3 linked regions of the Caenorhabditis elegans genome follow. The protein of the gene in region 2 interacts with the protein of the main gene of each other region in a pairwise test. Each region holds a gene or a part of one and is shown on either strand. Other genes may lie near its edges.

Evidence for each region.
Region 1: the proteins of src-2 (region 2) and ajm-1 interact in a two-hybrid assay, tested with the Caenorhabditis elegans proteins (one large-scale study listed by BioGRID).
Region 3: the proteins of src-2 (region 2) and cyld-1 interact in a two-hybrid assay, tested with the Caenorhabditis elegans proteins (one large-scale study listed by BioGRID).

What each region holds. Positions count from the first base shown.
Region 1 is NC_003284.9:9,080,305-9,087,191, reverse strand, and holds the start of ajm-1 (Apical junction molecule ajm-1), read right to left. Parts: upstream 4,210-6,887; coding exon 4,108-4,209; intron 3,290-4,107; coding exon 3,131-3,289; intron 1,924-3,130; exon of another isoform or gene 1,721-1,923; intron 1,505-1,720; exon of another isoform or gene 1,363-1,504; intron 1,160-1,362; exon of another isoform or gene 969-1,159; intron 907-968; exon of another isoform or gene 759-906; intron 1-758.
Region 2 is NC_003279.8:14,319,352-14,329,244, reverse strand, and holds src-2 (Tyrosine protein-kinase src-2), read right to left. Parts: upstream 7,009-9,893; 5' UTR 6,959-7,008; coding exon 6,713-6,958; intron 6,665-6,712; coding exon 6,543-6,664; intron 5,683-6,542; coding exon 5,561-5,682; intron 4,776-5,560; coding exon 4,578-4,775; intron 3,943-4,577; coding exon 3,872-3,942; intron 2,217-3,871; coding exon 1,953-2,216; intron 1,894-1,952; coding exon 1,605-1,893; intron 622-1,604; coding exon 410-621; 3' UTR 280-409; downstream 1-279. Other genes in the region: F49B2.9 (uncharacterized protein), read right to left, coding at 9,348-9,482, 9,728-9,756, 9,803-9,893. UniProt on the Caenorhabditis elegans protein: Non-receptor tyrosine-protein kinase which may play a role in larval and pharynx development. Unlike src-1, does not play a role in embryonic development.
Region 3 is NC_003281.10:9,906,450-9,913,331, forward strand, and holds the start of cyld-1 (ubiquitinyl hydrolase 1), read right to left. Parts: upstream 4,210-6,882; 5' UTR 4,209-4,209; coding exon 4,172-4,208; intron 4,120-4,171; coding exon 3,962-4,119; intron 3,907-3,961; coding exon 3,667-3,906; intron 3,274-3,666; coding exon 3,148-3,273; intron 2,868-3,147; coding exon 2,791-2,867; intron 2,748-2,790; coding exon 2,639-2,747; intron 604-2,638; coding exon 499-603; intron 1-498. Other genes in the region: F40F12.9 (CCHC-type domain-containing protein), read left to right, coding at 6,572-6,650, 6,698-6,829.

The DNA.
Region 1 (6,887 bases), on a different chromosome or scaffold from region 2:
TAGTAAATTGAATGAAGCAACTGGAATATGAAAAGTAAAGCTTAATTTTAAAAGATCTAGAGATTGGATTCTAGAGGAAAACACAGCTTTAGAGATATTTTTTCCAACACTTCTTGTGAAATTTTTTTTCAAAGTTGAATTAATTCAAACTCAAATGCATTTTCTACTTTGTGATACATTTAATTTGAAACCGAAATTTTTTTGAAAGGTCATATATCTTCTTAGAATTCTGTAATTTTAAATTTGTTCTACTCAATTTCTTGAACTAAAAAACTGTTTCTGTCAATTTTGCTTACAGTAGATTTATTGACGCAAAAGTAACCACTCTTATTTGACTATTCATTTTTTTTCGAGTACATCAGAAGATATTCTACAGTTATGATGCATAAACGACATAATGCAGGTTTTGTCAGTGACAGTTTTTTTATACGGTTTGATAAAGTTTTGAGAAAAGTATTTGCAACGTTTATGAGTCTTAATTTTTTTTTTTTCAAATTTTCCTATTTTTATTGTGTATTTTTTACATCTCCGAGAGAGCGTAATAAATTAAAAAGTTTTAAAAATATTGTTTCAATAAAAAAAAACAATTTTGATTCTAATCAAAATGCCAAAACATTTGATTGACAATGGAACATACTATAACAATTCTCAATAAAACAGTTTCTTCAATTTGGAACACCTAATATAAATAAAACCATGAACTAAAAACTAAAACTAGAATACTTTGTTTTTAAATAGACAAAAAAGAAAGCGGCTACATGAAATGGTCAAAAGTATCATCTAAAAAGCGGGAAGTGGAATGAAAGAGAAGATAATACTGGAAAAAAAACATTGTGCAAACAATCAAATAGATGTCGAGACCGAGATTTGCACAAACGGGGGAAAAGAGCTCACCGCTCTACCTATCCAATTTTTTATTTATTTTTCAACCTTAGATATTGGTTTTGATTTTGGTTTTTATTCCACTTTTTATCTAATAGTAAGTGTTAACCTTCAATTCTTTCGCTCTATACAGAACCTCATAAATCAGAAGGTGTGATGGTGATGGCATTGAAAATTGTATAAGGAGAAACACAAACGAAATGAAATCTGCGTAAGATCATAGTTGTAGGCTCTACAATTTGATTGACAGGCGGTTTGGATTAATCTACCTTTTCGGAGTGAACGGAACGTTGTACACTGAACGGATATGATGACTAATTGGTAGTGACGGTACAATGATTTGATGACAAATGACCAGAAAATGAAGAAATCCCGAGACATAAAGAAAAAACAAAAAGTGCGAAAGATTGGTGACTTGAAGAGGAATAGAGATGGATGCAAAAGTCAAAAAATCAAACATATTGTATTATATGAACACAACGATGTACAGAGAAAAAAGAAAAAGGGGCAAAAAGGCAGAAGAGCTGGCGGGGTTGTTTTGTGTGAATCATCTGAATAAACAGGGCTTTTTATATGCGTTAGCTGGTACGTATATGCATATTTGTGTGTATTGACAAGGTGGCTGAGGTTGGTGCATCTCCTTTTTGTATACCGTGCAGTGCACGGCAGTATCTTTTTACTCGACTTTTCCCAGTTGGCATCGTTTGAGAAAATTTTCCGCAACTTAGTTTCACTAAGGAAAATTATGTAAAAGTAAAATTCACTTTCACTATTGAGTTGTCGGCTTACACTTCGGTTCTCCTTGGGTTTATCAAAGAAAAAAATTATGTTGAATTTAATATTTCTTAGTTGACTATTTTGACTATTTTATTTTTTTTTGATAAAAACAAAAATTACCCAAGTACTGCCAAGGTGGAGCAAGAGGGTACAAGTGTTTTTTTTTTCAAATTTAAAACACGAATAATCCCTACAATAATCAATTCACTACAAATATAAGTAAAAATTAAAAAGTTCAAGTTCGTTAAACCTACTAAGTATACTAAGTAATTACAATCGAGACATTTGCAGATTTTTAGTTGAACAAATAAATTCTAAACTGTATAAAACTCGTGAATATAGAAAAGTAAAAGTATAACACAAATTCAACATATACACCACAAATACCACATAAGAAGCCAGGTAGTAGCACATTAAAAAACACGACAGAGGTTAGTGGCCAAGACGATTTGGAGGAAGGGCAAACGTCTGTGACCCTCTCTGTTTTCTGCCCCTCTTGACATCTCCAACGGAACAATTGAACAGTTTTAATAAGGTTGCTAGAGTCTGGTGGAATGAATGAGTCGAGATTTGATGAGTTGAGTTAGATGGTTCAGAATTGGTAATTTGAAGAAAATTGGCCAAGTGGAATTGGGAAAAGATGCGAATTAAGAACTGAATACTAAGGTAGGTAACGTAAATTAAACTAAAAATAAGCAAATTTCTAGTCAGTGACTCATAATCAAGACATGGTTATTAGATAAATTTCAGGAAAGAAATAATAATTTTGACACTTTTATAATTAAATTTTTGATTTATTGCTTCACGTACAATTTTGAATAACACATGTGTTGTGAGTAAATTAATTGTGAATTTTTGCTCAAAAGTTGTATAATTTTACAATGTATACATTCTATTCCGTTACCACTATTATTAAAATTATCTTCATTCAATATCATCTGGAACTGTTCGAATGTGGGGTATCCCTAGCATATTAATATGATCAAGACATTTACACTATCCGAAAATAGCCAACAAACATATCAAAAATGTATATAATTTTTAAATCACACACAAAATCAAAACAAAGTAACATTTACTTAGTTTCAATAAATCATTTGGAAGTCAACCAAAAAATACATGTCCTGTCAGTTTTACACATTAAGGAGATTCATATTATTTTTATATATACATTGTTGTGTTCAAATCTCCAGTAATGCCCAAAATAATTGAGAAATTATTTGAAAGCAAGACATTTTTTCAAAAATAATTCTTATTCTCCCGAAAATAATTCTTCCGAAGAACATGAAAACTTAAAATGTGTGTAATTACGATATTTAATCGTGTTTGACAATTATTCATATGTGAATGAAAACAAAATTCCGCTTTCAAGACGTTAAATGTTAAAACTCAGTTTTTAACCTATACGGCAAAAGTATAAAAAATTGATAATGTCTTGTGAAAAGAAAAAACAATCAAGAAAAGGTCTCACCTGTATAAATACACCCTCTTCTACAATTTCGGTGTCGGAGCTGGTATCGGATGAGGAAGACGACGCCTCCTCAACCTGAATATCCGGATTTGCCGCCGTGGTGGTAAGTCGTTTCCGGGCCGTGGCGAACACAATTATACGTAGAGAGAGGACAAACGCCTGAATTCAGAAAGCAAATTAATTGGTGAATTGTTGTAAGAAGGTGTGTGGGAATTGAAATGGAATGGTGAAGGCGTCAAGAATTCAAATTTTCTCTAATGAATGGATAGTGTATCTACTGGACTAGTTTTCCTCTTTCCTCTCAGTTTTCAGATCGCCAAAAGGGCAAAAAGTTATCGGAACGAAGGCCCTTATGTAATGAGACGGTTGAAGGGCCACCCGACAACCACAAGACGCAATTAGTATCCGAAATGCAATGATTATTAGAAAAAAGTGGAAGTGTGGTGGTCATGTCTGCAAGCGAATGTACGAGATCCACAATTGCACGCTTTTGCTGCCACCCATACGCGAAACATTTTGAATTTAATAAATTCTGAGAGCGGAAAGCCCGGTGTAAAAAGAAGAATATGCTTGGAAATAACACGGGAAACTGTGAGAAATTTGACACGATTTAAAGAAAAAGATCCGCATTTTTGATACCCTTTTGTTCTTATTATAATTGAGAGAGGGAAGGGTCTCAGGCTGAACGCTTATTTTAAAGAAAACATATGTCAGATTCAATATCATATAGAGGGATGTGATATAAATATAAAGATGGACTGAAAAAAAATCATCGTGAAACTTCAAAAATTTTTTTAATTATTATCCAATATTTACGAATTTTGACAATTTTCGAGAAAGGCGCGAAATCTGAATGAATATCTCTTCTCGAATGAAAATCTCGTTTTGGCCTAACTTTACCTTTAAGTTAAAAAATTTAATAGGAGTATTTTTAATTTAGTATTAACTTGTATTAAAATTATGGCAAAAATACTCACCAAAATAGCAGAAAATGCTGTCTGTAAGATGGCGTTGAAGCCGTCCGGAGGACGACTTTTCTGTGACCTGTTGTTTGACGATTGTAGATTTTCTATGTCCATACAATTCTGAAAAAAAAACCTTTAAAATTTTCATCATTCCTTTTTGGAAAAGCGGATAGAATTTCAATCAAATTGCCTACATATTGCTGAATGTAGAATAATGGGTTTCAACAATAAAAAATGATTCAATAGGAACATGAATTGTTGAACGGAAACTTAGCAATTTAAAAAGGCTTGGTTAGTTTTTTATACAACAATTTGAAATCATTGTTTTGTTGAATAAAAAATTTGAAGAAGGAGACATGTGCGACCACGAGATGTTCCATGATTCAGACTATGATGTATCAACAACTTTATGCATATGTAGTGAAAAAATACGATGATGGGAGAATAACACACACGAAAATGAGCGAAAAACAAAAGAAGGATGTGCTACGGAAGAAGTAAAGAGCTCTCAGGTTTCTATTATGTGCCAATTTCTTTGTACTGTCAAGAAGAGAAGAGAGTGTGGTGTTTGCTCGTGAGTTCTGGCGAACACGAAGACAAGTTGGTAGCGCATAACAATTGCTTGTGCCGCACTAAACCACTTTTGCAAAATCTTTTATCTTCTTTTATCTCTCTAGTGATTTCAATCATACATACGTGCCAGTTTCACACCACAGATTACTGTGCAATAATGGAGTTACATCAAACTTCAAGCTAGTAAAACATTGGGCTTGGTTAGAAAATCAAAATTATTCGTATTTCTTTGTTAAATACAATAAATACTCTTCATATAGAAGTTACATTCTTTTAATAAAATGACAAAGTTAATTACAAAACAAGTTTTGTGATCTACAGAGGTGCGCGGGAATTGGAAAAAAAAAGTATCTCAAATTCTAAAATTTTTGAATTATCTCAAGCAAACGGATGACAAAAAAACTCTACTAAAATACACATGACATTTCAAGCTTAAATTTGTTAGGTTACAAGATTGCCAACAAAATCCGGCAATTCCTGTAATTTTTATTTCCAATGTTTTCAAAATTACCAAATGTCGCGCACCCCTGAAATTGAAATAGTTCCAATTTTGAGTTTAAAAATATTTAAAAAAAAATATTTTAAAAACATCATCTGAAGTTTTCAGTGTTACCAATTCATAACGTGAATAGTTTTTGGCACAGAAACAATTCGAATTTGTTTGAATTTAGATATTATATTATTTTATTAATGATAAAAATATAGTATTCAGAGGTGCAAAAAAACTAATAAAATGTAAAACTAAATTCACAGGAGATGTCGACCAGCAACATGTAATACAACATGATATGTATACAAAACAACAACAAGCAGTAGCAGATTAATAGTTGCATACTTTAGTAACGGTTAATGATGATGTTTTGTGAAAAGATGAGGATAAAAGCTTAGGTTTTTTTTTAAACTCCAGACTTGATTGATGAATTCTAGGTGATTTTGAACAAATTCTGAAAACATATGCTACTCTCCAAATGCAATTGTTGAATTAATCTAGGCAAAATGATGATGGAGAAATTTATAGTGCATTTATTTATTATGAATATAAATATCGAGAGGAATGGAATGAAAGATAGTCGGGAGTGAGAATGAGCGAGAACTCGTAAAATTGTAACGAACTACAGATGCGAAAAGTGATAAGAAATAAAGATGGAAATACAACAGATTATGATAATGTTTGTGCATGATGTTATGTGTTATAATTCGGTTTAAGAATGAAAGTGGTCAGGAATCTAGAGGAACGTTGAAATTTCGAACTACTTTTTTTAAATGAATCTCACTAAACAAAAAATTAAGATTACACGAATATTGAAAACTGTTTAACTTTGCAAACACAATAGAATTTTTTTCAAAACGGATTGCCTCACACTATGATATGACGGATTTTCCGGTCACCGGCACCTGTCAAAGATGATTAATCAATTTGTTTATTGACATTTCTCTCCTCGTTCACCGATAGTCTGATTATAGGGAAAAGGACGAAAAAGGCGATGATAGGATGACGGGCGAAAAGCTTTAGATATAAATATTTATTTGTTAAATGGATTAGATCACTTCCGAATGATGATTTCATTCAGGACGTTTGAAATAATATTGTCTAATATTGGTGGCTAAATTAAGGCAAAATATTAAATAAGTCAATATTACCGAGATTGGAGAATGATTGCACTACATATTAAATTTTCCAAAAGATATCTATTACTACTAATAATAATTTACATCAAACCTCGTAAATTTTTATCGAAAAAAAAATTTAATAGAGAATTTTTTTGAAAGTGGCATTTTTGTAACAGGTACATTTTGAAATAAATATTTTCATAAGGGGTAGACGGCAATTGCCGAAAAAACCGATTGCCACAATTTTTAAAACTCAACATCTGCCGAAACATCCGAAATGCCCAACATTTTAGAATGCCGTCCATCCCGGATTGTGACTCAAAAAAAATCTGTTAAATAGTTGTACTTATTAATTATTCAGCAGTGCTAAAATGAGTTAGTTAAAAATATTTTGATTTTACAATAAAACATAACAACCTCAAAATCAAGTTAAAAAATTTTCATTATTAATGCTAGTGATATGTACCTTTATAATAAGCAAAAAAATCTGCGACAAAAAACCATCCTAATAACAGAAGCTTGCAAACATTTACTATGATTGATTATAGTTATTATGATAAAAAAGTGGAACCGAACGTTGCAAAAGTGACAATGTCTTGTGTGAAAGA
Region 2 (9,893 bases):
GTATAAAATATCGAGTTTTTGTTAGAAAAGTTAAAAAGCCGAAAAATTGAAAATTGGACTCAAGAAAGCACCAAAAAATGCGAAAAATTGCTAAAAAATAATAAAATTCTTCAAGCTTTTGAACTAAAGCCACTTCCACTGTTTGTGTGTGTGTGTGTGAATTTGAACTTTTTACCTAGACCCCCCTCCTCTCCTCGATATCCCTCTTAATATTTGCCGATCATAAAGAAATGTTTGAAATGTGATCAGGTTACTCTTACCTGGATCTTAAGCCTGGATCATAAGAAAAATCAATAATTTATTAAAAAAAAAACAGTATTGAGCAAAAAAGAACACACACAGACAGAAAAAATCACAAAAAAAACCCGTAGCTGCTGTATATAGGCACCCAAAAGTTTCTCTCTCTCTCTCAGAAATTTATGCTGGCCTCCTTATACTCGGAAGAGTCCAGATTGAACAGATCCTCCAACTTCCATTGGAGGGTCTCAAAGGTTGGCCGTTTGTCCGGGTCGCTTCTCCAGCACTGTTGCATTATGTCGTAAAGGGTGACTGGGCACCCGGCTGGGCACGGCATACGGTACCCGGCGTCGACTTGTTGTAGGACTTCGGCGTTTGTCATACCTGGAAATGGTAAAGAGGTGTCATTGTAGTGTGATCTACATAAATTGCGGGGGGATTTTCGCTTTAAATTTGCCATTTCATATTCCCAAATGGTTCGTAAAGGACCAGTTTAGTAACCTAGACGTGGTGTCAGGCTGCCCCATTTCGGTTTGATCTACGTAGATCTACTAGAATTGCGGGCATTTAGACGCAGACTTTTCAACTGATAAACGTGCTGAAGTCACATTCTTTTAAGGGAAAAATTACCGCATTTTTTTGTAGATCAAACCGCAATGGGACAGCCTGACACCATGTGCTCGTGTGACCTCCGGAAATGGCGGGAAATTTCTTTTTTGAAATGTGTGGCGTGTTTCTGGGGTACTACACGGTTTGATCAACAAAAAATGCGGGAGTTTTTCGTTCTAAAAATCACTTTAGAACTCTGCGTCTCAACTCCGCGCATTTTTTGTAGATCTACGTAGATCAAACCGAAATGGGACACTCTGACACCACGTTCTACAGTAAAACTTAGGCTACATCGCATTTTTCAAAATTTGAATTTTCCGCGATTCCCGGAGATCAAACGGCGAAGGGCGCAGGAATATTCCACATTTTAGTTGACGCGACCTATTCCCAAAGTTTTGCGAAATTTTCAAGGCCCCTTCAATAAGGGACTTAATTTTTATAATTAGCGAACTGGTACCATTTTGTAAAAAAAATAATTTGACCTCAATAAAAGGCGGGATGTTAGTTTTCAAAAAAGCTCATATGACGTCAAAATTTTTAATTCAAATTCCCGCCACTTCTGGAGGTCATGCGGCAATGAGACCATCTTACGTTGTGTCAGGCTGTCTCATTGCGGCTTGATCTACAAAAAATGCGGGAATTTTTCTCCCAGAAAATGGTGACGTCAGCACACTCTTAACCATGCGAAATCAGTTGAAAAGTCTGCGCCTAAATTTCCGCAATTCGTGTAGATCAAACGGGTCGGTTCAAATCCTCACCTGGATAGGGTAACCGTCCGAACGTGACAATCTCGGTGAGCAGGATTCCAAAACTCCAGACATCCGACTTGGTTGTGAATCGATTATAGTTCGCCGCCTCGGGCGCCGTCCATTTTATCGGAAACCGTGCTCCGGTTCTTGCTTCGTACTCGTTCTCCTTCATCAATATCCTGGCTAACCCGAAATCTGCGATTTTTACAGATAGGGAGTTGTTGATAAGGATGTTTCGTGCTGCTAGGTCTCGATGGATGAAATTCATCTCCTCTAGGTAGGCCATTCCAGCGGCAACCTGCAAAACTTTTTTTGAAATTTTTTTTTAATTTCGAGGAATCCGAACGTGAACCTCACCTGCGCCGAGATCTCCACCAGCTGAGGCATCTGACACTGCCGACCTCGTCGCTGTAAGAATGTGAGCAGATTCTCCTGCATTAGCTCGGTGACTATAAGAATCGGCTCATCACGTGTGCAGACTGCATACAGGGACAGAAGCTTCGGATGCCGGAGCTTCTTCATAATCTGTGCCTCGGCTAGGAAATCCGTAGGATCTGCGGTTCCGGCCTTTAGCTTTTTCACAGCGACGGGGACGTTCACATTCCATCGGCCTTCCCATACCTGGAAATTGATGGTTTATGTAGTACATCCAGGATCTGCAAGCTGATTTGCAAGTGCGCTCTAATTAAAAAATGACAAATGTTCTCACTAGAGCGCACTTAAACATGCAAGCATAAGGGGGGGGGGGGCGGGGTTAGGTAAAAAGTTCAAAGTTCAAACACACACTTTAGTAAGCTGTAGTAAGAATTTTCGTATGTTTAGCCATTTTTCGCATGGTTTTGAAGCTTCATAGATTAAATTTCTTACAAAACTCATATTTTCGTTCATGCTTGCAAATTTAAGTGCGCTCTAATGAGAACATTTGTCATTCATTTTAGGGCCTTGCTATCTATATTCGAGGTTGAGTTTTTACTCATGGTGCATCGACATTTCCTTATAACCCTAGTGGTAAATCTCTATGTTCCAGATCCCTTCGTTTTATGAGATCTCCTAGCGGAACTGATGTTTGTAGGGGAGTGATATCATGTTTCAAACCGGTCCTATCTGTTTCAATATTGGCGGCTGTAGCTGCTCGGATCAGGAGATGGAAAAGTCAATAGAAAAAGGGGAAACCGTTTTATCCGGTTGTTTTAGGATCTACACTAAAAGCCCCTGGATTAAGAAAAACACGGAAAAATAAAAGCCTGAAGTTTTTTAGTCCATAGGCTGAGAGGTTTCTGGGAGTTACACTCAAAATAAAAAACTAATATTTAGGCCCCGCCTTTTTCTCGTCCGCTCACGGAGAAAAGGCAAAAATATTGACCCTAACCAATATCAGGCCGCCGACATCTCACGGGTTTCGCGCGCCGCTGCGTTTAACTTGCTGTGGGCGTGACGAGCTGTCTCCGCCCGCTGCGAGTTAAACGCAGCGACGCGCGGAACCCGTGAGATGTTGGCGGCCTGATATTGGTTGGGGTCAAAATTTTTGCCGTTTCTCCGTAAGTGGACGAGAGAAAGGCGGGGCCTAAATATTAGGTTTTCTGCAGTACACGCCACGCAGTTTTTTTTTATTTTGAGTGTAAAGTAGCGCCTACACGGATTTCTGGCTCCCCTCATAAATTGAGATGGAAGAGTTTGCCGAACAAGGCCATTTTGGATCGGCCATATCTGGGGTAGAATTACGGCGCGTTGCGTGTCGCGTCGCGGCTCGATTTTAGTTTTAAAACTTGTTGTAGTTGTCCGTGTGGAGTGCACGATTTTCCCACGCGTTGTCCAGGTCAATGGAGCGCGAAAAAATCAATAAGGAAGGCCAGAACCCCGTGCGCCTAGAAATATCAAGAAAAATTCTTGCTCATGCGATTTTTTGGGGTTTTTTTTACAAAAAAACCTAAAATTTTTCAGGCTCTACCCTAACAATTGTAATTTGGGGCTACACATGGTGCATCGGGGACCCACCCCCCCCCCCCCCCCCCTGCAATTTTCCCCTAAGATCATCTCCTTACCCCCACTCAATTAGCATATCTTCTCCTGTTTATCTCGTTCTCCATCAATTCTCTATACACACACACACACACACACACACACACACACAAATATACATCAAACACGAACGGAATAGGCAACAGGAGGAGGAGGAGGAGGATGAGCCTGTGCACACTATTTGGCGGGCTGTGGGGCTGGCGGGCAGGCAGGCAACGTGAATAAGCAAACAACCGAAAGAGAATGATGATGCTTACCTCTCCAAACTGCCCGGCTCCAATTTGTCGAATGAGACGAACCGAACGGCGGTCCACTTCCCATTGGTCATCTGGAATGGGAATTTTGAACATTTTTAAAGGTAACTGGGCGCCTTGTGGGTCCCTGGAATTGTTTGGCCTAGTAGGTAGGCACAATAATGCCTGCCTACCTTTAAGTCAACTTTGGCCTGAATTAGGTTCGCCTTTTGCCTACTGGATTTACCTAGGTTTGTAGTAGGTATCTAAGCATGTAGTAGGTATCAAGGTATGTAGTAGGTATCTAGGCAAGTAGTAGGTATCTAGGCACGTAGTAGGTATCTAGGCATTTGGTAAGAATCTAGGCATTAAGTAAGCACCTAGGTATCAGGTAGGCATCTAGACACGTAGTAGGTATCTAGACATGCAGTAGGTATCTGGGAATGTAGTAGGTTAATAGGCACGTAGTAGGCATCAAGGCATTTGGTAGGCATCTAGACATCAATAAGTTACCTAGGTATATAGTTGGTATCTAAACATGTAGTAGGCATCTAGACATCAAGCAGTTACCTAGGTATGTAGTAGGTATCTAGGCACGTAGTAGGTATCTAGGCATGTCGTAGGTATCTAGGCATGAAAAAGGTATCTAGGCATGTAGTAGGCACCGAGGTATCTAGTAGGCATCTAGGCAGATGTAGGCACCTGTCAGGCATAAAAACTTCCAGCTTACCATATGTGAATGTCGTTGTCTGTGGGGCTTCTGACTTGGCACAAGGAGCTCCCAGATTCACACAAAGACCATCGGCTTCTCGTTGGTAATGTGCAATCAGGTCGTGTAACGTGGCAAACGGGCGCCTCCGGGCGATAAAATACCCGCCGTGGTCCAGTTGACGGATACGGTAGTGCTTTACGCTGTCGTTCTCTCGGACTGCAAGAAAATTGGGATTAATAGGGGGATTTTGGACTACAAACTACAATCTTCAAATTTAAGAAAACTTGGAATTTGATGAGTTTGTTTTTTTTTTGACAGTTTTTGGAATGTTACAAAGGAAAAAAAAATACTGAAATATTATAAATTTGAAAAATTCAAAATTCCCAAAAAAACGTTTTTTGGTAACTCTCAAAAGAGCTTTGAAAGGTTTTCTACAAACTACAAACTACAAACTACAAACTACACACTACAAACTACAAACTACAAACTACAAAGCACGAAATACATATTTTTTTATAATTTTTCAGAATTGTAAAATTGAAAATAAAGATAAAAACTTTTTGTAATACTTTCAGAAAAAATGAAATCTATCAGTTTTTCAAAAAACATTTATTAAAAAATTAGAAAATTATTGGCAAAAAATTCAATAAAATTTTTTTAAAAAAATCGAAAATGATTTTTCGAATTTTTTAAAAAAAGTTTTAAAAATTAAATAAACATCTATGTATATTCCATCTATTTTTGACAGTTTCCATCTAAATTCCCCCATCCCAAATTACCCATCTAAACCCATCAAAATCTCCCAATTTGCCTCCTTTCTCCCAAATTCCCATTACTTTCGGAATCATAAAAGGTCGGGGCGAGCGGGGATAACCTCTTTTCTGCCTCTTACTGTCACCGCGCCTTTCTCATTTTGTTGTATCCGACCTTGATTATCTCTCCCAGAAAACCGGTTTTCGCCCGCCATGTGCCCTATGGGGCGCCCTTAAAAGTTCACTGACCTGATAATGATAAATCATGCTGTCGACTTTCGGAATCTCTCACTAAAAATGCTCCGTGCTCATTTAAAGTGTGCAATAGACATTTTTCCGCATCGATTCGCCGCATTTTTCCAAAGTACCACCTGGAAATTTGTAAAAATTTAGATTTTCGGATTTTTAAAATCTTATTTTTTGAATCCCTGTAACTCTGCAATAAAGCAAGCTATTAAAAAGTTGTCAACTATTAAATTGTAGCAAATTTTATGTTCTACAGTTTGCTAGTTGCCAACTTTTTGATATCAATCAATTTTAAAAAGTTATCATAGTTTTAAGGCCTACACGGATTTCTTCTAGAAATCCCTATAACTTTTTAATGGTGTTAGCTATAATATTAAAAAGTCGCCAACTAACAAAATATAGGGAATATTAAGTACTTGATTTTAGGTACTACTACCAGTGAACTACAAAATTATTCGAGTTTTAAGGTTTTAATGTGAGTTGGAATTTTTCTAAGTTTCGTAAAAATGTTATTTTTTTCAAAATTTCGTTAAAGCTATGTAACTCTACAAACATTAAGTTACTGAAAAGGTTCAAAATACGAAAATGTAGTAAATTTTACAATTAACATTTTGTCAGTTGACAACTTTTGCCGGTAAAAATACACTTAAAGAGTTGAACCATTTCTACGCCTGCTCTGATTCCCCGCTGACACCTCTAAAGTGCTATAACTCTTCACTGGTGCTAGCTATCAAAAAAGTTTAAACTAACAAAATGTAGGAAATTTTCTGCTCTACAATGTGCTAGTTGACAATTTTTTTGTATCTCACAAGCCAAAGGAGTTATGACAGTTTTAGTTACACCTGATCAAGCCCCTGTGACAACTAACAAAGAGGCGCTGGATAGCTCAGTAGGTAGTGGTAACCACCAGCAATCTGGAGGTCACAAGTTCAAGTCCGGCCTCTCTCCCTAGGCTGGCTAAAAATTCAAAAAAAAAAAAACTTACGGCTGTGACTCGATACTTTTCTCCCTGGCAACATAATTCGACGGGATATACCCAGTCCGTCCAGTTGCCTTGTGCCTGGCGAACCACCAGTCTCCTTGGGTATCATTTAGAATTTCAAGGATCTGAAAGAATGAGATATGGAGTTTCAAAAAATAAAATAAAAAACTAACATCATCCTTCTTAAAACTCAAATCATCATCTGTCCGTGCATCATATTGGAATAAAGCGACAAAATTCGCAGATTGCGAGATATTCTGATTTTTATCAATCGTATTTCCACTGGAAGACGCCGCAATCGGACCGATGGACGGAATTCGTGGATGACTTGGCAGTGACTCCCTTCCCAACGTGGATGACGTGTGGACTGGTGACGTTGCACCAGGCGGTGGATCCTCTTTTCCAATACAGGATCCCATGGGGAGGAACGGACGATCCTGGTGTCGTCAGTTTTTTGATTTGGGAGGTTCTGGAAGAAATTTAGATAGTTCTGGTTCATTAGGGTTCGCTGGACAAAATATAGCGTTTTAAAATTGTCAATTAGCAAATTGTAGATCAAAAAAATTAAATTTACTACAACTTGTGAGTTGACAACATTTTGATAGACACTAGCACCAATTAAAGTTATAGTTATAGGGGTTTCCAGGAGCCAGGGCAAAATAGGTGTGGGCGTTAAACTGCCATGAATCGTTTAAATATATATATATATATATATGCCAATTTGTTTTTTGATATGCCAATTTGTTTTTTGATATGCCAATTTATTTTTTGATATGCCAATCTATTTTTTGGTATGTCAATCTATTTTTTGATATATATATATCAAAAAGTGGTCAACTAAAAAATTGTAGATTTCAAAGCTTACTTCGTTTTATCAGTTAAAAACTTTCTGACTACTTGACACGCTGGGGAGCTACAGGGTTTATAAATCCAGAAAATTCATTTTTAGCGAAACTTTAGGTGGGAATTTGGAAAAATGCAGCGATAAATGTCTGCTGCACAATTTAAAGGAGCCTGGAGCATTTCTTTGTAAGCGATTAAAAAAAAGGGCCCAAGAAAACTTGCAAAAATTTTTAAGATGATCAGTCAAGTAAAAATAATTTTGGACTAGTTTCAAAAAAGAAATAACACAAAACTTGTGAACCAATAAAATACTTAATGCGAAATTTTCTTATATTTCTTCGTTATGGGGTTTCAGGGGCAAGCTAGGACTAACTAGCTGTATTAAATCGACTATAACACCTTCAGATTAATAAATATAAAAAAGTTGTCAACTAACAATACATTACGCATAAAATTTGCTACATTTTTTTAGTTGACAACTTTTTGACATCTAGCCCCAATAAAGAGTTGTATGGATTTCTAGGAGCCATAAAAATAACTTTCTGGACTACTACTATATCTATTTTATCCTGAAAAATATGAAAAGTTGTCAGCTAATAAAAATCAAAAAATTTGACCGTAAAATTGGCACTAAATTATAATATATGAGTTACAACTTTTTCAATATATCAATCTTCTAGAGTAGAAAATTCAGTTTTTAAAGTAAAATTTCAAGCTAAAAGGTTACAATAAAGCAGGAAAGGAACTCATAGTATTAATCGAGAACTATTATAATTTCAGTGCCTAGAATTTAAACTGAAATTTCTCTCGAATAAAGTGAGCAACAAAATTTAGGGATCAAAGTTTTTTAGGCTAACAATATTCCGACAAGGTGTCAGAGTGTCCCATAACGGTGTGATCTACAAAAAATGCGCCAACTGTTGTCGCACGGTTAAGAACGTGTTGACGTCACAATTTTCTGGGCCAAAATTCCCAGTTCCAGGAGTTTTTCAGCCAAAGCTAAAAAATCTTTTAAAAAAGGCCTAAAAACTATGTTCCAAAGTAGTAGTATAATCTAAAATTGGGGGACCTAAAAGGAAAACTACATTTTCTATCTTTGGCGAAAATTGTATAATAAGAACTATGAAAATACAAAATATTAGGTAAAAAACCCAAAAGCCGGAAAGAAATTCATTTAGCCGGTTGCTGGCTAGCCCACCGTCTTTGGGGTGAAAAAGAAGAGGGAACTGTTTTTGTCTCATTCTCTCTTCATCCCTCTCACTATTTGTCCACCGAGGTCAGGCATCTCTCTCTCTCTCTCCCTCTCTCCGCCGCGCCGTTTAGCAAACATTTGCGGAACGCGCGTGCCTTAAACTCCCAATTGCAGGTAGCATACTGATCCCAAGAGACGCAGACCTACAAAAATGGCAATTTCGACAGCAGCGGAGGCGCCCGCGCGCTGGTGGGAAAACATCTTTTTTTGCGCGCGGAGAGGACAGGGAGAGAGAGAGGATGATGAAGCTGTCATTATCAAATTAGATTTGATTAACAGGCTAGGGATTTAAGCTTTCATTGGATCGGTAAACTTTTTATTAAAATTTTTCAAATTTTTTGAGAAAAAAGAGCGAATTTCTGGAAAATTCTGGAAAGTTGCAGTAATTTGAGAACGGCTCCAGAAAAGAAAACTTCAGGAAAATGTGTAACTGCTAAATTTTTAGTTTTAGGAGTGCTTTGGATTCTAGGATTCTACAAATCTAGAAAAGATGATATATTTGCTAGTTAATAATATTTTGGTCGAACAACTCGGTGTCACACAGCATTCTCGTAGATCTAAGTAGATCAAACCGACATGGGACGGCCTGACACCACGTGCGACTCAGTTATTCAAAATTAGTCGATAGAGCGCACTTTGCCGACTTTATAGTTTTCTGTAAAAGCGGGCTACATGTAGCGACAGACAATTTGCGGGCGGGAATCTAATGTGCTTTATTCAAAATCTTTTTTATAATATTCCAAAGAATCAATAATTTTCCAAAGGATCAGCCACTTGAGATGTTCATCCGTATAGGATGGTTTCGGGATTTCCAGAGGGGCTACCCTTTGGGGCATCTCATCGGAAATCTGAAAAAAAACAAGAAATTGAATTTAAAGGTGCCCAGCTGTCCCATCACGGTTTGATCTACAAAAAATGCGGGATTTTTTTGCTCAAAAGTTCTCTGAGCATGTGTGAGCACGTGAGCACGTTCTTAACCATACAAAATCAGTTGAGAACTCTGCGTCTCTTCTCCCGCATTTTTTGTAGATCTACGTAGATCAAACCGAAATGGGACACTATGAGAGATGTGAGCCTCAACCAATATAATTACGTCTGAAAGGGTGTCATCGTCGCGGACTTCTGAAAATTAAAAAAAATATATAAAAAAATTACATATTCAACTCACTTCTCGGCTTCTTCTTCTTCTTCCTATCCTGAGCTACTGGAACCGGCTGAGCTAGTTTCGTAGCTTTCTTCTTATTGACTTGAACATATAT
Region 3 (6,882 bases), on a different chromosome or scaffold from region 2:
AATTTTTTTTTTGAAAAACATTCCATATAGCTTTTTAGCAATTTCTCCAAAAAAGCTTCGAACTTTTCATAGAAATCTTTAAATATGTAATGAGAGTTTTTGGACAAACTAAACACTTTTCAGATTGTAAAATACTAAAACTTTCATAGAATCGTTATTTTTTGGTCTCGAAAAAAGAGGAAAAACGATTCAGTGAAAGCCCCGAACGTCTTCTAATTGTTTTGTCAGTGAAAGGAAAAGCAAGAGAGAGAGAGAGAGCCAACTTTTCATGTTCATTTGGTGCACACACCCCATAAACAAGGAGCCGCTTGTTCGTTTGTTCAAGAAAAAGAAGTCGATGAGAAGCGCAGAAGTAAGAAGGGAAGGAAGGAACTAGGCACCATACAGCCGGAGGAATAGAAGAAGACGTCACTTTTTGAAATAAGTAGAGGCAGAAGTAGAACTGGAAGACGTCAGGACGGCCACAATAATTGCCTCACGAGGAGACAGCTAACTAACCTGAGAAGTGTTCCCGTCAAAGTCCACATTATACCATATTCCTGATGCTTCCGGTCTCTCACCGATCCACGACACTTTTGCTGGAACCCGTCGCATTGTTTCGTCCTGAAAATAAATTATATTGAAGTTTTCAGAAAAAAAGAGCTCAAAATTAAAAAAAGGAACTAATGGTTCTTGTGCTTTACTATGAATTTTTAAAATTTTTTCAAGAATTATTATTATGAAATTCGCTGGTTTTGAGGCAGTTTCACTATATTATTTAATTCTGAAAATGCGGATTTGGCAATATATTTGACGCGTAAAATATCTCGTAGCGAAAACTACAGTAGTTTTTGAAATGACTACTGTAGCGCAAATGGTCAAAGAGTTCATATCGTTTTAAAATTTAAGACTGCTGAGACACGAAAAATTGGAGATTGATTCTAGCTAAAATTAACAAATTTTTAAAGGAATTTTTGAACCACCATAGGTTTTTAAACACACCAAAAAATGTTCTATTATTTTTCTGCGTCACGAAAAAAGGTAGGTAGGCAATGATTGTATGGAAAAGGGATGAAAAAAAATGGAACTGAAATTGAAAACGGGGCAGCGAATGCGTCAGCCAACGAACAAAACATCATTGTGCATCAGACAAAAAAAAGAAGAAAAATATCACCAAAAAAAGTTTGTCCAACTGATTTTGTTTCAATCAATTCAAGTTCGATGACAACAAATTGGGAGAAGGAAGGGCGTCGCCAATGAAATGAGAAACAAGTTGGTTGAGACGATGAAGAGGAAAGAAAGAAACAACTAAACAGGCAAATAGTTTGTTAGAGAGAGAGAGAGAGAGAGAGAGAAGAGGATAACTTATACTTTCACACAGAGAAAGAGGAACTCTATGTTTTTTGTGTTGAAAAGAGAGAGAGAAAGAACTAAATAGAGAACCGGTTCACGATATCATTGACACTGACCGAAATATGTTTTATTGAACAACATCGAGAGGGATTAAGCATACAGTCGGCAGAAAATTGAGAAATTCTTTCAGTTTTAATTTTAATTTGAATCAGAAGCAAGGGCGTCGGGTTTTCAATTTTTGAAAAAACTAAAAATCGAAAAATCGAAAACTTTTCATTTTTCGATTTTTCTAAAAAGTTTTCGATTTTTCGATTTTTAGTTTTTTCAAAAATTGAAAACCCGACGCCCTTGCTTCTGATTCAAATTAAAATTAAAACTGAAAGAATTTCTCAATTTTCTGCCGACTGTATGCTTAATCCCTCTCGATGTTGTTCAATAAAACATATTTCGGTCAGTGTCAATGATATCGTGAACCGGTTCTCTATTTCATTTTTCGATTTTTCTAAAATTAGCTTTAAAATTTTGTTCATTGTTCTTCATTTTAGAATAAATTGTTTTGTTTTTTTCTCAACAATGTAAACGAAATTAAACTTTAAAAATCATATTTTATGGTTAATTTTCTGAAAAAAAATTGTCTTTTTGATTTTTCGATTTTCCGAAATTTTTAAAAATTCGAAAAATCGAGAATTTTTGTTTTTCGATTTCCAATTTTTCTATTTTGGAAAAACCGAAAAACGACACCCTTTATCAGAAGTATCATAATCTATGTGGATGTATTTTTTTTGTACATTTGAAATTTTCCCGGATTTAATTTTTTCCCGGACCAGAAGAGATAAATATAAATCGAGAGTTTGAGAATAAAAAATAAAAACGAAAATTTCTCGATTTTTTGGACACTAGTAAACTATTTAAGATGAGGCACAATCACTATTTCATTCGAAAAAACAAAAAAATTTCATTATTCGAGCAAGAGACTCCAATTTTTTTTCGATTTTCAAAAAAATTCGTTTTTTTTTTTAATTAAAGCCGGAAAATTGACTTTGTCAGAGCGGAATTTACAGAGGCCTAGCAAAAAATGTGACTCGTGGGCCATTAATTCCTATCCCATTATATTATTTTCAAGAAACTTATAAGTTAGTCATGCCATCGGAATTTCAATCAGTCACGTGTGACAGTCTAATTCTGAATACAAGGAGACGCCCATTTCTCGTCTGCGTCTCTTTATTTTGAATTCGTTGTTTTATTTTTCTTTTTTTTTGGTTAAAAACTAGATTCCTTTGAGAAACATATAATTTCAAATACTTACCACTTCCACAGAAACAGAATCGCCAATTTTCAGATTCAGAATGAAATTGAACCATTCGAAATTTTGATAAACTTCTATTCGTTTCTCTACACTGACAGCCAGAAGATGTCTGAAAAGGGAAAAAATTTTATTTATAAAGATAATAAATATACATTGCTTGATCTTGGTTTATTCTCATTACATCGGATCTGGTAATCATTGCACAAATCAGAGGAGTGCAGTCGAGTTCCTGAAATTTAAAAAAATTGAGAAACTGAAAAGGCATTAATTTGACGAAAAATTTTGTGCCAAAAATACGGTAGCCGATCTCGAAACGACAAATTTTTGGAATTTTTATCGATTTTTTAATCGTTTTTTCAAAAAAAAAAACAAGAATTCTGGAGAAAAACTATACAAATTCAATGAAAATTCGCCGGGAACGAAAATTTTGAATTACAGTTCTTTTAAATTTGTCGCGTCGAGACCCGCTACCGTAGTTTTAGCCGCAAAAATCAGGGTAATTACGATACCTCCATGGGCATTGCTAATCCATCACGTAAATGCGAAGAAGCTCTTGATTTTGTGAACCATTCTTTTAATTCAGACATTTTCCAATCATCATCTGCCATTTCGCGAACCATTGTTCCTGGTGGGATCTGAAAATAGAAAATAAAATTAAAAATGTTTAATTGTGGAAAAAATAAGCAAAAGACCAAATTTCATAACGAAACTTCTCCAAAATGCTTTACAAAAACATGATTTCAGCTAAAACATCAAATTATGCACGCTTTTGAGTGTCGGCCGGATTTTTTTCTCATATTTTGGTTGTTTCTCCGTTGATCAATCGATTATCGGCTCAAAAATTACCTAAATCAACAAAAAAAGCGTTTAAAAAACTTAAAGATGACAAAAAATAAATAAAAATCAAATTTCGGCAGCTACGACACGGAGAATTGGCGATTTTAGATGAAATTCTGTTTTTTTCCCCGAAAACTATCGCTATTCGGTCTTTTTGGCTCATTTTCCTCATTTAAATCCACTTCAATCACCTCAATAACACATGGTTCTTCCTCTCTTCCATAATTCGATGAAAATCGAATTCCTTGAACTTTTCGTTGCAAAAGAGCAACTATTAGCTCGGGAGAATTCCTATTCCTATCCAGCTTCGTCGTCCTATCTCGGCTATAATCGCTAACATCCACTAATTGATCATCTAAAAAGCCGGAGCCAGAAGCTTCATTAATAAGCTCAAATCCATCTATTAATGTGCCGACCGGTATATTTTGATTCTGAAAAAAAAAACGAATTTTTAAAAATCGATTTAGCAAGAATAATGTTACTTACGAGATTTAATCTGTTAGAATTGCTTGTATTTTCACTTGTATATAAATTTGAATTTTTCTCGGACTGTGTAAAATAATCAAAATCGTGTGCAGTTAAATTTGTTATTGTATTTGATCCCGTAAGTTCATCGAGTGGGTTACGAAATTGATGAGATCCAGCTGAAATTAAAAACATAGTTTTAAAAAAAATTATTATTATTTCGTAAAATACCTGATTGCTCCGGAAACTTTGCAAATTCGCCGGGCATTCTGAAATATGCGGGTTGTTTAGAACGTTTGACGAACGACAACATTTCAATAAATGAAATAAAGATTCGTACTATAAGTGGAGAGCGGTGGACGAAGCGCGCGCGCGAAGCTCAGTGTTACGTTTCGGTGAGCAAATAGAAAAGGACGTTGTCCAAACAATTATTAGACTTCCGCATCATATACCTATTTGGTGTTGAATAATATTTTTGGTTTTGACCTCGGGTTTTCCTTGCGCGCTAGGTTTTTTTTGCCGAAAAATAAAACATCGAGCAAGCAAATGACAGAGAACGTTTTCGAAAGAGAATGAGAGAACGAGAGCTTTGACACAATTATTTACAGAAAGCGAGGGAAAATGATAAGAGGCTTGCGGAGCAGATAGTTTATGTTGCAAATGCCATTTAAAATTGCGATTCTCTTCAAAAATGGTAAATTTTATGCGAAAAAATGTAGGCAAAGGTTGAGCATGTTTCTGAAAAATTTATTACGGAATTTACGACGAAAAAATCTTTAAAAATCGCTGAAAATGTTCAAAAATGCATTTAAATGAAACAAAACAAAAATAAAAATTCAAACATGTTTCAAGGGAGGTGCATGTCTGCGGATGGGTCTCGCCGCGCGCGCTGGAAATAAAGTTTTGGTGTCTGCGCCTGTTACTGTACAATTTCTAGGCTTGTTTTCTTCGATTTTATTTGCGGAAAGAAAATTATTGTGTCTTCTAATTTTTTTAAAATGTTCCATTATTTTGTTATTTAACTCAAAATTAATTGTTTTTATAGTTAAAAAAACATTGTTAAAATTCTACAGTAACATTTAAAGGCGCACACACTAAAATTTTATTTTAATTATACATCGCGTGGCGGTACCCAGCCAATATGAGATTTTCCGATATTTAGCGACAGGTTAACATAATTTTTCGCTTTATTTCTTTCTTTTTGAAATAAAACGAAGAAAAAAGATAGTAGTTAGTGGAAAGTGGAAAGTGGAAAGTTTTCAGAAATCAAAATTTCAAAAATATCCAGAATTGCTTTAGAATGAAAGAAAACCGACAAAAACCCAGTGAGCAGATAACAAGATTCCCAGAGCCCACCCCATCTCAAATAGAGCTTCAAATTGACAATTTAAAGTTTAGAGCAACCTTTTCAAGGGTACCAACATGACTAAAAATGTTGTGGCTATTTAAATGAGTATTTGGGTAAATACAAATTTTTTGAGATAAATAAAGAAAAGATGTAACATTCAGATTGCATGTACGTTTGTTTGAGTGCGGTCCAGGCACATGAGTTTATTTGTCAAAAAGATTGGACATTTTGAAGAAGACGAGAACTCGAAATGTAGCTGGAAAGTTTTTTGAAAATTCAAATTTAAAATATAAATTAAAAAATACAGAACCTTTTTTAAATCAAACCGAACACGCAGTTCAATGCAAAAATCGATAAAAGTCGAGGAAACGGAAAGACCGGTTCTCTTGAGGATAGACGGACAACGCATTCGATTGGACTTGCGCACCAATATAAACAACAATTGAATGCAATAAAAATGTAACTGAATCCATCTTATGGAATAGTGGAAGTTATCACATTTAATAAACAAAATTAATAGTTAAAAGTATCAACAGAAAATACATTAAATTATCTTTTCGTCTCTCCTATTGAACATTGAGTTATTCAAGATAATATTTTTTAGCTAGAAATGACGTGTGTTGAACTATTGTGTGGCCTTAAGTTTGGAACCATAATACTATAATGTGAACTTAAAGACGCACGGATTCATTCAGATGGGTCTCGTAGCGATAATAATAACCGGGGCTCATCTTAAAGTCTCCAGTAGTCGCTTTTTAAAAGGAGTTTGAGATAAAATACTTAGAATTTGAAGAGAGAAATAGGATTTTAAAAAAAATTAATTGAAAAACTAACTTGGAGAAAAACTATTAATATAGAAGTGAAAAATATATTATCTAGCCAGGTAGGACGGAAACTGAATACAAAAAAAATATTAAATTCAAACTGCCGCGTTTCTTTTTGCCAGTGTGTCTAATTCTCTTGGCACATGGTCAGAGAGGTTTCGCAAGAAATATTTCAACATTTTCTTGATTACCAAATATGTACAATTATATATCTAAACAGATAACTTTTCATTTGCTAGAAAATAGTATTATATTTATTATTAATAAAGAATTTTTACATTTTCCAGAAATGTGAAAATTCACAGTAAAAGTTTTGGCAAACTGCCAAAAATGTTCAGTCACTTATTAATGCCAAAATTTTTAAAAATTAATTTTGAAAAGTTTTACCGTATTATTTAGTTAGAGCTACTTTACCTGTAAATATTTGTGACTCACTATCAATATTCCGAATTTTCAGTCATGCCCCATAACAATTGCTGTAAATTTCAAGAACCCACTGACAGTTCTGAAACCTCAAGCATGCACAATTTGGAACAAAGTTTAAACTTTATATGGCATAATAATTAAGTTACTTGTTTCTTACAGGTATATGCTACAACTGCCACAAACTTGGTCATATGTCTCGTGATTGCCCTGAAGAACAACCTAAAGCATGTTTCAAATGTGGATTCCGTGGACATTATTACCGAGAATGCCCATCACAAATAGAGAAAAAATGTAATCACGGGGAAAACAGCGAATTGAAAAGTTGTTATCAATGCCAAAAAACT